2 linked regions of the Kluyveromyces lactis genome follow. The protein of the gene in region 1 interacts with the protein of each later gene in a pairwise test. Links are inferred from orthologs where the notes say so. Each region holds a gene or a part of one and is shown on either strand. Other genes may lie near its edges.

Region 1 (7,177 bases):
AACAAAGTTTTGTTGAAACTAAAAACTATCAAAGAAAAAATATACTTTAGTATTAGAAATGTGTGCGTATTGAAATGGAAGGAACAGAAACACCCACCAAAAAGCTCATTATAGACGTGACTACTGCATTACGCACCACGATAGGTTTTGCTCATTGCAATAAAAAAAGGAAAGTAACAAGAATACCTTTGATAGAATTACTTTAAAGACACTATCTCATTCCTTCTCGTTAAAGTTCTCCAAGATAACACTGTACCATTAACCATTTAAATTAGACTGAAATATGTCATTACCGTTGTTACGTCCGTTTGAGACTGTTTCTTTGGAGAATGCAGTCGAAGACCTTGTTGTCAGATTCATTCTCAATGTTCCCCCGGAAGATTTATCAACAGTTGAGCGGGTTCTATTCCATTTTGAAGAAGCCTCATGGTTTTACACTGATTTCGTTAAACTAATGAACCCATATTTGCCCAATTTAAGCATTAAAAGCTTCTCCAAGATCGTCATAGACATCTGTCCTTTGATTTGGAACTGGGATATCACACCAGAAAATGCACTTGTCAAGTTTTCAAATTATAAGAAGACCATTCCCGTTAGGGGAGCCGCTATATTCAACGATAGTTTGTCAAAGATATTATTGTTGAGAGGTATCAATTCAAAACACTGGTCTTTCCCACGAGGTAAAATTGGTAAAGATGAAGATGACGTCGCATGCTGCATAAGGGAAGTTAAAGAGGAGACCGGCTTCGATTTAACCGGATTCATTGATGCTGATCAATACGTTGAACGGAACATGAATGGTAAAAACTTTAAAATCTTTCTCGTGAAAGGTGTACCTGAAGACTTTGAGTTTAAACCAGAACACAAAAATGAAATTCAAGCCATTGAATGGAAAGATTTCAAAAAATTGAGCAAGGCAATCACCAAGAATGAAGGCAGTGCCAAAGTTTTCTTGGTCAATTCCATGATTAGACCGTTGTCCTTATACGTTAAAAACGAAAAGAGGGCCAAGGATGAAAATAAATTGAAATTATACGCCGAGGAACATTTGAAATCCATTTTAGGATTGAATAAGAAGGAGAACAAGATCGTGCTTGACGCAGGTCGTGAGTTGATGGAAATGCTACAAAAATCTGCAAAAACAGCTCAACATCAAGCCAGAAACGAGACATATGTTGCGGAAAACCCTGTGGTTGATGTGAATCAAGCTCGTAGCTTGTTTCCACTTATGTCCGTCCAATCTGTTTCTCACTTTTCTTCCAGTAATAACACCAATAATAACATTGTCAATGGTACCGGTATGACGATAAATACCACTGGAAATAATAAATTGGACCACGAAAAATCGTATTCTACGGAACAAAATACTGATTTACAAGCCTCTAGCAAAGAACTACTGGCATTTTTACACAAAAGTTCTACTGTCAATGACAAGGAAAGACAAATTTCAGGCAGTGATAGCGTTTCGTCATTCCCATCTGCTCATTTCACGGAGTTCACTGATGATGAAAACTACGAGGAATTCGAAAGTTCATCTGACGAAAGTCAATACGAAAGCTCTCAAGAACAACTTGGTCATTCTGACACGGAATGGGACCCCAACAGAGATGATGAGTTATTAACAGTGAAAGAACCCAAAAGTGTGAAAGAAACACAACCTTCAAAACCTGTCAAACCTGAAACAAAGCAAGGTGCCACAAACAATCAAAAACCTATACTTTTGAAACGTCCGGAATCTCAAAATAAGGCTAATAATATTGAATCTCAAACCGTGAAGCCAAAAATCAGATTATTGAGGCGTGGTGACACATTGGCATCAGCCACACAGTCTCCCTCCAATGAATCTATTAAAGCAGTCTCTGAGAAACGAAACGATACAGAAACCACTTCAAACAAAAATGCAGCCAACGACTTATTGTCAATCTTGAAGAAGCCATCAGAGGACCAACCAAAGATAAACGATTCAGAGACACATTCAAACAGAAGTGTAGCCAATGATTTATTGTCCATATTGAAGAAACCATCGAGATCAGAAGTACCAGGCGCCGCTTCGTCTCCTTTATTCACTAATACCTTTGAGAATAGTCAAAGTAGTAGTTCGAACGCTTCAGTGGAACATCATACTTCTTCCAATAACGACCGTAATGGTTCTAATTTTTCAAAGCAGTTTACTGCCTCACCTGCACTAAACGAACCATCTCCTAAAAATGATGCAAGCGACTTAATGCAACTACTGAAAAGACCACAACAGAACAGTGAACCTCAAAGTCCAATATCAGACCTTTCTCCAGCAAGCAAACCCTCAAATGAATTGCTTAATATATTGAAGAATCCCAAGACCGGCCTAAACTCGCAAATATCGGACGATCCTGTGACACACAACACCCAATACAATAGGATGCCTCCTCTGCAAGTACAGCCTCAACAGCCTTTCCAAATGCAGCAAATGCAGCAAATGATGCCACCTCCAGGTTATCCTCCCCAAAATATGTCATATATTCCCCAAGGCTTCTCTCCTCAGCAGCAATTCCAATATCAGCAACCGATTAATGGATATCCTATGCAACCTCAGCCACTTAACATGGGACAACCTGCACCAAACCAAGGTTTTACTAAACAGCAAGAACTTTTGAATATATTACACAAGCCAAATGCTCCTGTTCAAGAAACTCCTTCCAACCCTTCATCTGAATTATTGAGTATCTTGAAAAGATGAGACATTACAGCATTTCGCAATTTCACTTACATATATTTATATATGAGACTTTTCATCTAAGGAATATTTTGATAGTTCAGCTGTATAATTGAAAGAGCTAAATCTATTATTGTTCAGAATCATCTGATGGGATTTCATACTCTTGAAGAACCGCTGTTAGTTCTGCTTTATCATCTCTTCGTATCCACTCTAACTTTCTATCTTTCATGCCAGTTAGAGTGGTAATACAACCGTAACACACGCCTACATTCTTGGCAGGAGTATCACTCATTTTGTTTAGTTTTTCGGCTTTGTCTGGATTAGCTGCCTCCCAGGCATTGTAGTTGGTCAGTTCTTCCTCATTATGAATCACAAATGGCTTGCTAACTGTGATACCGTCAAGCCAATTTACTGGATTCTTATAAATAATGGCATTGCAAATACTACAGTGCATGATTTGATTTAGTTCATTATCAGGGTTAGATAATTTTGCACCTGTTCTAACAACTGTAGATATCACGTTTGAGTAATCACCTTCAATGTTATCAAAATACTGTCTCGCGAGTTCATTCATCGTCATATTTTTGATAAGTTTGACATTTTTGGTAGGCTTGTCCACAAATTTGTCATAAAACAAAGTGTCCTGGACAACATAATTATGAGAGAATTGCGAAAGCCCTTTTATATGACAGTAAGCATCAATTTCTGACAGTAAAACGTCCCGGCCTGGATGAAAGTTTCTGAAGGCGGTATTATATTTACTATCGAGGGAAGAATCATCAAGATAACCTGCGATTTCTGCACCACGTCCTTTAACAGTCAGACTAATGACTTCATCAGCTAACTTTGTCATCGAGTGACCCCATAAGATGGCTTTGAAATTTCTTTGTAAGGCAAATTTCTTAATCAAATGGGTATAAATAATGTTCAAAAGATCTTCTTTCGCTGTTTTGTTAGGCGCGCTGGCAAGCACTTTCTCTACAGTAGTACTTGGATTATTTGATGATCTTACCAGAGTGTTGAAGTTATCAATGTACAGTGTAATTTCTTGCAGATCAAACGGCACGGCAAAGAATTGATTTCTGTCAACAATATGGAACAGAATCTTATCGGAGTTTTCTTTATATTTTGATTTCAGAAGTTCAATCTTACCGCGCACTTCTTCAAACTCTGCCTGTCCACAAATCGTGATTACTTCTACGTGAAATCCAGTTTTTCCCCGGTGTGTTTGTTTCTGCTCCAACAAAGTATCGTTCAAGATATCTAAAACTGCCAAAGAAGAGGATCCCAAAGAAAGCGGCACGAGAACATTGGAATCTTGATTTTGCTTATCAGCTTCTGCCTGACCACGTTTCTTATCTGGATATGAGATTTTGAATATATCTTGGAAGTAGTCATCAGACATCATCTGCTTCCTCTGTTTCAAAGAAATAAATTTCACGAAACATTCATCACAAAATGGTTCTTTTCTCGAGACTAGAGTTGCATCCAGCAGCTTACACCTTTTACAAATGACCATGATAGTTGGACGCAGCGATAAGGTTTGCAAGCACGTATTAACAGGCTTTTATTTGATTCAGTGACTAGTTACTATTAAGAGATGAGATGAGATGAGATTGATTTTCTTTTTTTTTTTTTTTTATTTTCATTTCACTGTGGTTGTTAACATGAAATTTCAATCTAGAAATTTTGGAGTTCTGAAAACCATAGTAAAATATTGAAATGTTAAAATGAATCCAGATGAACTAGTAGCAGATGAGTTACTGGTAAAGGGGAAAATAAAAAAAAGGCTCAAGCTAGCAACTTACTGCCTTACTAACAACAAATGACCGATAAACAAGAAACAACACAACCAGCTGAAAAGCTGCAACAGCCTGAAAAGGTGGCAGAGAACGTCGACCCCAGTCTCGAACTCAATAAGACTAAGGTCAATTTTACACCGGAAAAGACTGATGTCAACACCTACAAGTTCTATCCTGATGATCCAGAATCTACGTTGAACAGATACAGATTTGCAGTGAAAGGTGCTTCTGAATACTACGACCCATGCCAGGAATCATCTAAAATGTCTTTCAAGTGCCTTGAATTAAACAACTACGACAGAGACCTATGCCATGACTATTTCGACGCTTACAGAGAGTGTAAAAAGCAGTGGTTGAAGGCCAGAAGAGAGAAAAGAGAATTTTGGGAATAATTCAACCACATCTGCATGTAAATAGCGTACTTAATGAGAAGTAACTTTCTAATCAATAGCATGAATTATTTATTGATAATGAGCATGATCCTCCATTCCCATATTGAACGACATAAGCTAACAAACGGAACCTGAATAAACAAAAAAAGAAAATAATAACACAAGTTGAAAGTACAGATCACGTGACATAAAGGAATTGATATTACCCGTCTTTCCGAATATTCTCCATTGCTCCTAACTATTGGAATCCGACTCGCGCTCCCTCCAAAACATGGTTTCGGACCCCACATGTAAAGATTTCGACCCAAAAAATATTCCAGATCCCAAACCGAAAAAAAAAAAAATGCAGCTTCCCATTCCGATCAAACACAAATACGGATTATTACGAGCAGCATCAGAGATTCCCATAGGTAAGAAGTTTCCGTAATCGAAAAAAAAAGTAGAAAAGTGCAAAATTAATTATGATATATAAAAAGTTTTGTAAACATTGAGCTATTGTATGGAACAGGACGAACGAAAGCCTCAGGAAATAACACTCAGTAGTAAGCATCAATAGGATCTAGCAGATTTTCATTGATTGAGATATAGGATTTAGTGAAAGAAATTTAGAATCATATCAAGACGCTTTATTTTGGTTTGTTGAATACTGAAAGGAAAAAAGGAAAATGTCGGATAATTCTGTGAGTTCATTTGTGACTCGTAACAAGACCGCCATCTTGGCAACTGCTGCTGCCGGTGGTGCTGCTATTGGTGCTTATTATTATTATAACCAATTGCAGAGGGCAGAATTGGGTTCTGGTTCCAGTGGTAGTAAGAAGACTTCCAAGAGTGAAAAGAAGAAGAGGGCCGGGAAGAAGAAGAAGGATTCGTCTTCTTCATCAAACGGTTCTGATGTCGTTTATCCAGTAGACGCTAACGGTCAACCAGATTTGTCTAAGAAGGATGAGTTTACTCCAGAACAAGTTGACAAATATGCTTTGGCGTTGAAGGACAAGGGTAATGAATTCTTTAAGGCCAAGGATTTCGAAAAGGCTATTGAATATTATACCTTAGCTATTTCATTGAAAGAGGATCCAGTGTTTTACTCCAACAGATCTGCTGCATACGTCTCAATTAACAATTTCGAAAAAGTTGTTGAAGATACCACTGCCGCTTTGAAATTGAAGCCTGATTACTCCAAATGTTGGTTGAGAAGAGCTAGTGCTTATGAAAACTTGGGCCAATTCTCCGATGCTATGTTTGACTTGTCGGCTGTCTCTTTGTTGGGTGAATACAGCGGTCAATCCGTGGAGCAACTGCTGGAAAGAAACATGAACAAACAAGCCACAAAGGTCTTGGGTGAAAAATTGAAGGAGAACCAGGGTAAAGAATCTCCATTACCATCTAACACCTCTTTGGCATCATTCTTCGGTATCTTCAACCCTGAAACTTCTTTCGATGATTACGATGGCGAAAATGAAGCAGATGTTGAGTTGAAAAAAGGTTTGGAAAACTTGTACAAATGTCAAACCGGATGTTACGAATTGGCTGATGAAGAATTCACCAAGGCTGCCGAGTTATACAAGAAAGAATTAGAATCTTCTCCAGATAATGAATCTTTGAAGAAGAAGGCTGCCATCGCCTTCGAACATGTGGGTATTTTCAAGTTCTTCAAAAATGATCCAATTACCGCGCATATTAACCTGGAAGAATCGTTGTCTTTGAACCCAAGACCTTCTACTTACATCTACATGGCTTTGATTATGGCTGACAAGGGTGAAGCCAACCAATACAAGGAATACTTTGACAAAGCTTTAGAATTAGATCCAAACTGCTCTGCTGTTTACTATCATCGCGGTCAAATGCATTTTGTTGTTGAAAACTTCAAAGAAGCTGGTGCCGATTTCGATAAGGCTAAGGAATTAAATCCAGAAAACATTTTTGCCTACATCCAATGTGCTTGCTTGGCTTTCCGTGACGATAGATTTGATGATTGTGAAACTTTGTTCAGCGAAGCCAGAAGAAAGTTCCCAACTGCTCCAGAAGTTCCAAACTTTTATGCCGAAATTTTGGCTGCTAAGAACTCTCTAGATGCTGCCATCAAGCAATACGATATTGCCATCAAGTTGGAAGATGCTTTACCAGGTATTCACGTCGGTATTGCTCCAATGATTGGTAAGGCCACTGCTTTGATTAGAAACCCAACCGTTGAAAACTTCGTTGAAGCTTCCGAATTATTTGAAGAAGCTTGTAAGATCGATCCAAGATCCGAACAAGCCAAGATCGGTCTTGCTCAACTAAAATTGCAA
Region 2 (5,096 bases), on another chromosome or scaffold:
AAAGAGCAAAAAACACACTAGTGATACTGCACAATTGGTTACTATACAGGGTCCTATACCGATATATTAGTGTACGGTTTGGCTATTACTTAGATTGTTCATTGTTCAGACACTATTTATAAATGTAGTTTCGAGATTTCAATGCTTTGGATACCGAAATTTCACTTATTTACAGCGGTACACCACATACACGAGGTGCTAAATTGCATCTAACAATGCGAACACTCGGCAAGAGAGACCTTCAACCATGAAGTGTGTCATATACCCATTCAAATTGGACATTGGACGAGATCTGGTCTCTGTCAAACATCCGGGCCTTTTCAATCTTGAGCACGGGGACCATTCGAAGTCCAGGAAAATCCTGATTGAACCATAATTTGCACTCTCTGTGGTTCCAAAACTGTAGGGTTACATTGCCGATGACGAACAACGTATTCAGTGTATTCAATGTGATCCTATCATTGTTTATAGTTTCGTAATCTAGCACGCAGTCTACAGTGAAGTAGCATAGAATTAATGCTGTAGAGTCTCTAATCGTTGCATAAACGGTGTAATCGTTTACTCTATGGAATTTAACAATTCTGACGAACCTCTGAGGTGCGGGATTCAAAGCCGTTTGGAAAGCTGACTCTATGATATCATGTTCTAGTAAGTCCGTTACCAGTTCACGTTGTTCTGGCCAGAATTTCGTCTTTTCATTCTTTAAATAATAAGGCCTTACCGAAGGTTTAATCCATTCCTGCAAGAACACTGAATCATTATTCGTTAATCTTGAAGAAAGTACAACATTGGGCATGTGAGGATTGATAAGGTTAGAGTCTCTGTTCAGTGTATGTTAATAATGCTTCTCTGTTTCTGTACTACAATGGGTTTTAGGATGAGATTGTACCTTGATACAAAAATGTAAAAAAATTCCTCCGCGACGGGGAATTGAACCCCGATCTCGCACGCGACAAGCGCGAATTCTAACCATTAAACTATCGCGGAATAGTAAATTCGATGAGAGTTTATTGGACAAAATCATAATCCACGTGGCAAAAGTAGTCATGTGACTAGCTATGCAAAAATGTTAAAAAATGAAACGGACAGGAATTGAACCTGCAACCCTTCGATTGCAATTTTGTTTCCTTGGAAAATTCCCAGAATTTAACTGGAGTCGAAAGCTCTACCATTGAGCCACCGCTTCATTCTTGAAACATTTACGACAAGAATAGAATATAACCGACTTACTTTTGTCATGTAAAAGGGGCCACAGATGACACAATAGGTTCTGGTAAATATGCTTTACCCACGAGCATGGCCATAATAGAAGAAACATGGGAATGCCTTTGGAAGCTTTTGTTCATGTTTCATTATTGAAATAAATATCGGTATATCTCATTGATTTATATATATATATATATAGTTCAGATATGATGGCGTTTATTTCCATACCGCATGGGTAGATCAATTGGCAGCTGAATTGACAGTGAAGTTCTTTGCCCTATCAAGACCGTTTATACAAGATAACAACGCCAAGAATGAAGCCAGAGTAGTATCCTCATGAATACCAACACCCCATTGAACAAATCCTTCATGAGAGACAGAGATATAAGTAGCAGCTCTCGAATCGGAACTCTTACCCAAGGAATGCTCATGATAGTTTTTCACATCAAGATTAGTTTTGAAGTTTTTATTCACAGCATCGATGAAAGAAGAGATTGGACCGTTACCAGTACCTTCCAAATCCCATTGAGTAGTTCCATCTGATAGCTGCACCGAAAGAGTGAAATTCTCCGGAGATTTGTCATATTTATAGTCGATAAACTTGAATTTACCAGTAGTTGAATGAGATCCAACGAAATACGATTTCTCGAATAAAGAGATTAGTTCATCGCTCTTCAACTCTCTACCGACTATCTCAGTTTCATTTTGAACGATCTTAGAGTATGCAATTTGTAGATCTCTTGGTAAATCTAGCTCCAAGTTCTTTAGGATAACCCAAGAAGAACCACCTTTACCTGATTGCGAGTTGACTCTGATGATAGCCTCATACGTTCTTCCAATATCCTGAGGATCCAAGGGGAGATATGGCATTTTCCAAGGTACCACTGCATCTGGACCCTCTTTTTCTTGTAAAGCCTTAACCTTGTTGTCGTATTTTTCGAAACCCTTTTTGATGGCATCTTGATGAGAACCACTGAATGCACAAACGACAAGTTGTCCTCCGTAGGGTGCTCTAGCATGCACGGGAATCTTATTACATTTCTCAACGACTTCAATAATAGAAGCCATATCGGAGAAATCGAGGTTTGGAGATACACCCTGTGTGTAGAGGTTTAATGCCAAGGTAACCAAATCAACGTTACCGGTACGTTCACCGTTACCGAAGAGACATCCCTCGACACGATCTGCACCAGCCATTTGAGCTAATTCTGCAGCTGCCACAGCACACCCACGATCGTTATGTGGATGGAGAGAGATACATACTTTCTCACGTTCGGAGATACTTTGAGCGAAATATTCGATTTGGTCAGCGTACACGTTTGGTGTAGCCATCTCGACGGTAGCTGGCAAATTGAAAATGATTGGATTATCTTCAGTGGGTCCCCAAGCAGCCTTAACAGCTTCACAAATCTCTAGAACGAAATCCGGTTCACTATCGCTGAACGTTTCTGGAGAAAACTCAAATGACCAATGGGTATCTTGTCTATCCGGATGGTCTTTTGTCAAGGACCTAACAAGTTTGGCACATTTCACAGCCTTTTCAATACTTTCTTCATGAGACATATTGTTGAAAACGATTTCTCTGAAACATGGTGATGTCGCGAGATAGATATGTACAATGGCTCTCTTGGCACCGACCAAAGATTCAACGGTACGTTCGATCAAGGGTTCACGACATGGAGAAAGAACTTGAATGGAAACGTCTTCTGGTACGTTTTTCACTGCATATTGAGTGAATTGGAAATCGATATTAGAAGCACTAGGGAAAGCAACTTCAATCTCTTTGAAACCCAATTCGCATAACTTATCGAGCATCAGTTTCTTCTCTTCCAAATTCATCGGGTCAGGTAAAGACTGATTCCCATCTCTTAAATCGGTAGCTAACCATCTTGGAGCCTTATTAAGGGTTTTACTAGGCCATTTCCTGTCCTGTAATTTGACGTTGCTAACGAATGGTTTATACTTCACTGAAGGATCTTTGTAGAATGGCATCTTGCTCTAATGACTCTTTACTTCTCTATGTGCCTGATGGGTTTTCCTTTTTAATTACCAACCAAATTAAGGTGGTATGAATGATTTCAAGTTTTGAATGTATGTATATATATATGAATCAATGTTAGCAACACATCATCAGCTTTTTTTTATTACTCATAATGCACTTGGCAAATCGTTGATTAACCTGATGACATTTTCTTTCCCTTTGCAGCTTGACTGACTCATTTACCCTGGTCATCCATAATCAAAGTCTAAGAAATATCAACCGGTTTGCAGGTACGCTCATCTGCAGAGGTCTGTCTGTGTTACTCAGCAATTTTCTCGATGCCTTTAAAAATTTTTCAGAGTCATCACCATAGTATGGAAGAAGGGAACGGAACGGAGCTGGAAGTGACAGAGAAATCGATGGAAGAATGGACAATTTGTTGGAGAGGGAATGCCATTTTTGTGTGAGGTGTATATCCTGCGGTTGGGTAACTAACTATACGGTATAGTTGGTACTTTAGTTTTATTTGGTATACTCGGTCCCGTGACTTCTAAAGGAAAGCTATGAATGAGCAGAAAAATGGGAAAAAATGAGAAAAAAATAAAGCACTCACGGTGGGGGTCGAACCCACAATCTTCTGATTAGAAGTCAGACGCGTTGCCATTACGCCACGCGAGCATATTAATTGTTATTGAAGAGAATTTGGGGATTGGTGTACCGATCGACCTGACAAAGTCATTTCCACCCGATTTTTTTTTTTTGTGAGTTTTCCCTCTCAGCAGAAACCAAGGACCCAAGAAATATAATGATGAGCTTTGACATGTCACTACTGAGATACTGATTAAACATCACATACAGGTCAAGGTCAAACTAGGACATATCAGATAAATTAATCCACAATGGTCAGAGTTATTATTGAATTTCTAGGTGGATTGGATGTTATTGTCAAGAAACAGAGACAATATAAAGTGGATGTTCAACTGGATGGGAAGGATGAGATCAATGTCGGAGATTTAATCCAATGGATCGTAGATAACCTTATTGAACATGAAGGTGACGTGAATGTTTTCTTAGAGAACGATAGTATCAGACCAGGAATTTTGACTTTGATCAACGATACCGATTGGGAACTTGAAGGTGAAAAAGAGTACGTATTGGAAGACGGTGACGTTGTTTCGTTCACCTCAACGCTACACGGTGGATGATCTGGAAAAACTGCCGAGATGTTGAATATATATGCATTATATGCTGTCCTCTCATTCAAATTTGTATTATCCTGCATCCTAGTAACCCTGCGCCTTGCCAGGACCTAGGTACCAACTGTATAGTAACGATATCATTATTTCTCTTTATCTTAAGTACGATCTCTTCATCTATACGAGTTTGAACAAGTTTACCGATATTGGATAGATTATTGTGGTTAAGGGCATGTACGGTGCCGAATTTAATGATAAGATCATCTGTTTGTAATCCTGCGTCATGACTTGGAGATCCTAATTTTACGTCCACCACTTTTGCAAAAGCGATCAAAGAATCTAGATTTAGATCTGAATCCTCGTTGCTATCTCCCATTTCAAGCGTCTGCATCTTTCCTACAGTTGCGTTTTGCTTATTAAGCGATTCAAATTCAAGTGGCAATAGATACTCGACTCTTTCGATGATTCGTCTCAAATCGTTTCTCAATACGTTTACGTTACGTTTAATTAACCGTATAGTGACTAGATCCAAATCACCGCGGGGAAACCCCTCAGCGGTAGTCAAGGGGGTATTCATATCAACTTTGTGGGCTGATAAATTATCGAACTGGTTCGTCAATTCATCTTCCACTTCTTTCTTCAATTGTGACGCTTGAGAGAAGTTTAGATGTGGTAATTCGTTGATTCGTTCCGTCAAACCGGTAGGAATGATA

What was found.
Region 2: the proteins of NCS2 (region 1) and URM1 interact in binary tests that used the Saccharomyces cerevisiae proteins (3 or more experiments, as listed by UniProt). The link is inferred for Kluyveromyces lactis from reciprocal best matches to the Saccharomyces cerevisiae genes NCS2 and URM1.

What each region holds. Positions count from the first base shown.
Region 1 is NC_006042.1:2,234,900-2,242,076, forward strand, and holds NCS2 (Ncs2p), read right to left. Parts: upstream 4,215-7,177; coding exon 2,823-4,214; downstream 1-2,822. Other genes in the region: DCP2 (decapping enzyme complex catalytic subunit), read left to right, coding at 284-2,716; COX23 (Cox23p), read left to right, coding at 4,521-4,889; protein channel TOM70, read left to right, coding at 5,555-7,177. UniProt on the Saccharomyces cerevisiae protein: Plays a central role in 2-thiolation of mcm(5)S(2)U at tRNA wobble positions of tRNA(Lys), tRNA(Glu) and tRNA(Gln). May act by forming a heterodimer with NCS6 that ligates sulfur from thiocarboxylated URM1 onto the uridine of tRNAs at wobble position.
Region 2 is NC_006040.1:1,211,429-1,216,524, reverse strand, and holds URM1 (ubiquitin-related modifier URM1), read left to right. Parts: upstream 1-4,086; coding exon 4,087-4,392; downstream 4,393-5,096. Other genes in the region: telomerase subunit EST3, read right to left, coding at 242-796; KLLA0_D14201g (2-isopropylmalate synthase), read right to left, coding at 1,447-3,198; NAS2 (Nas2p), read right to left, coding at 4,448-5,096.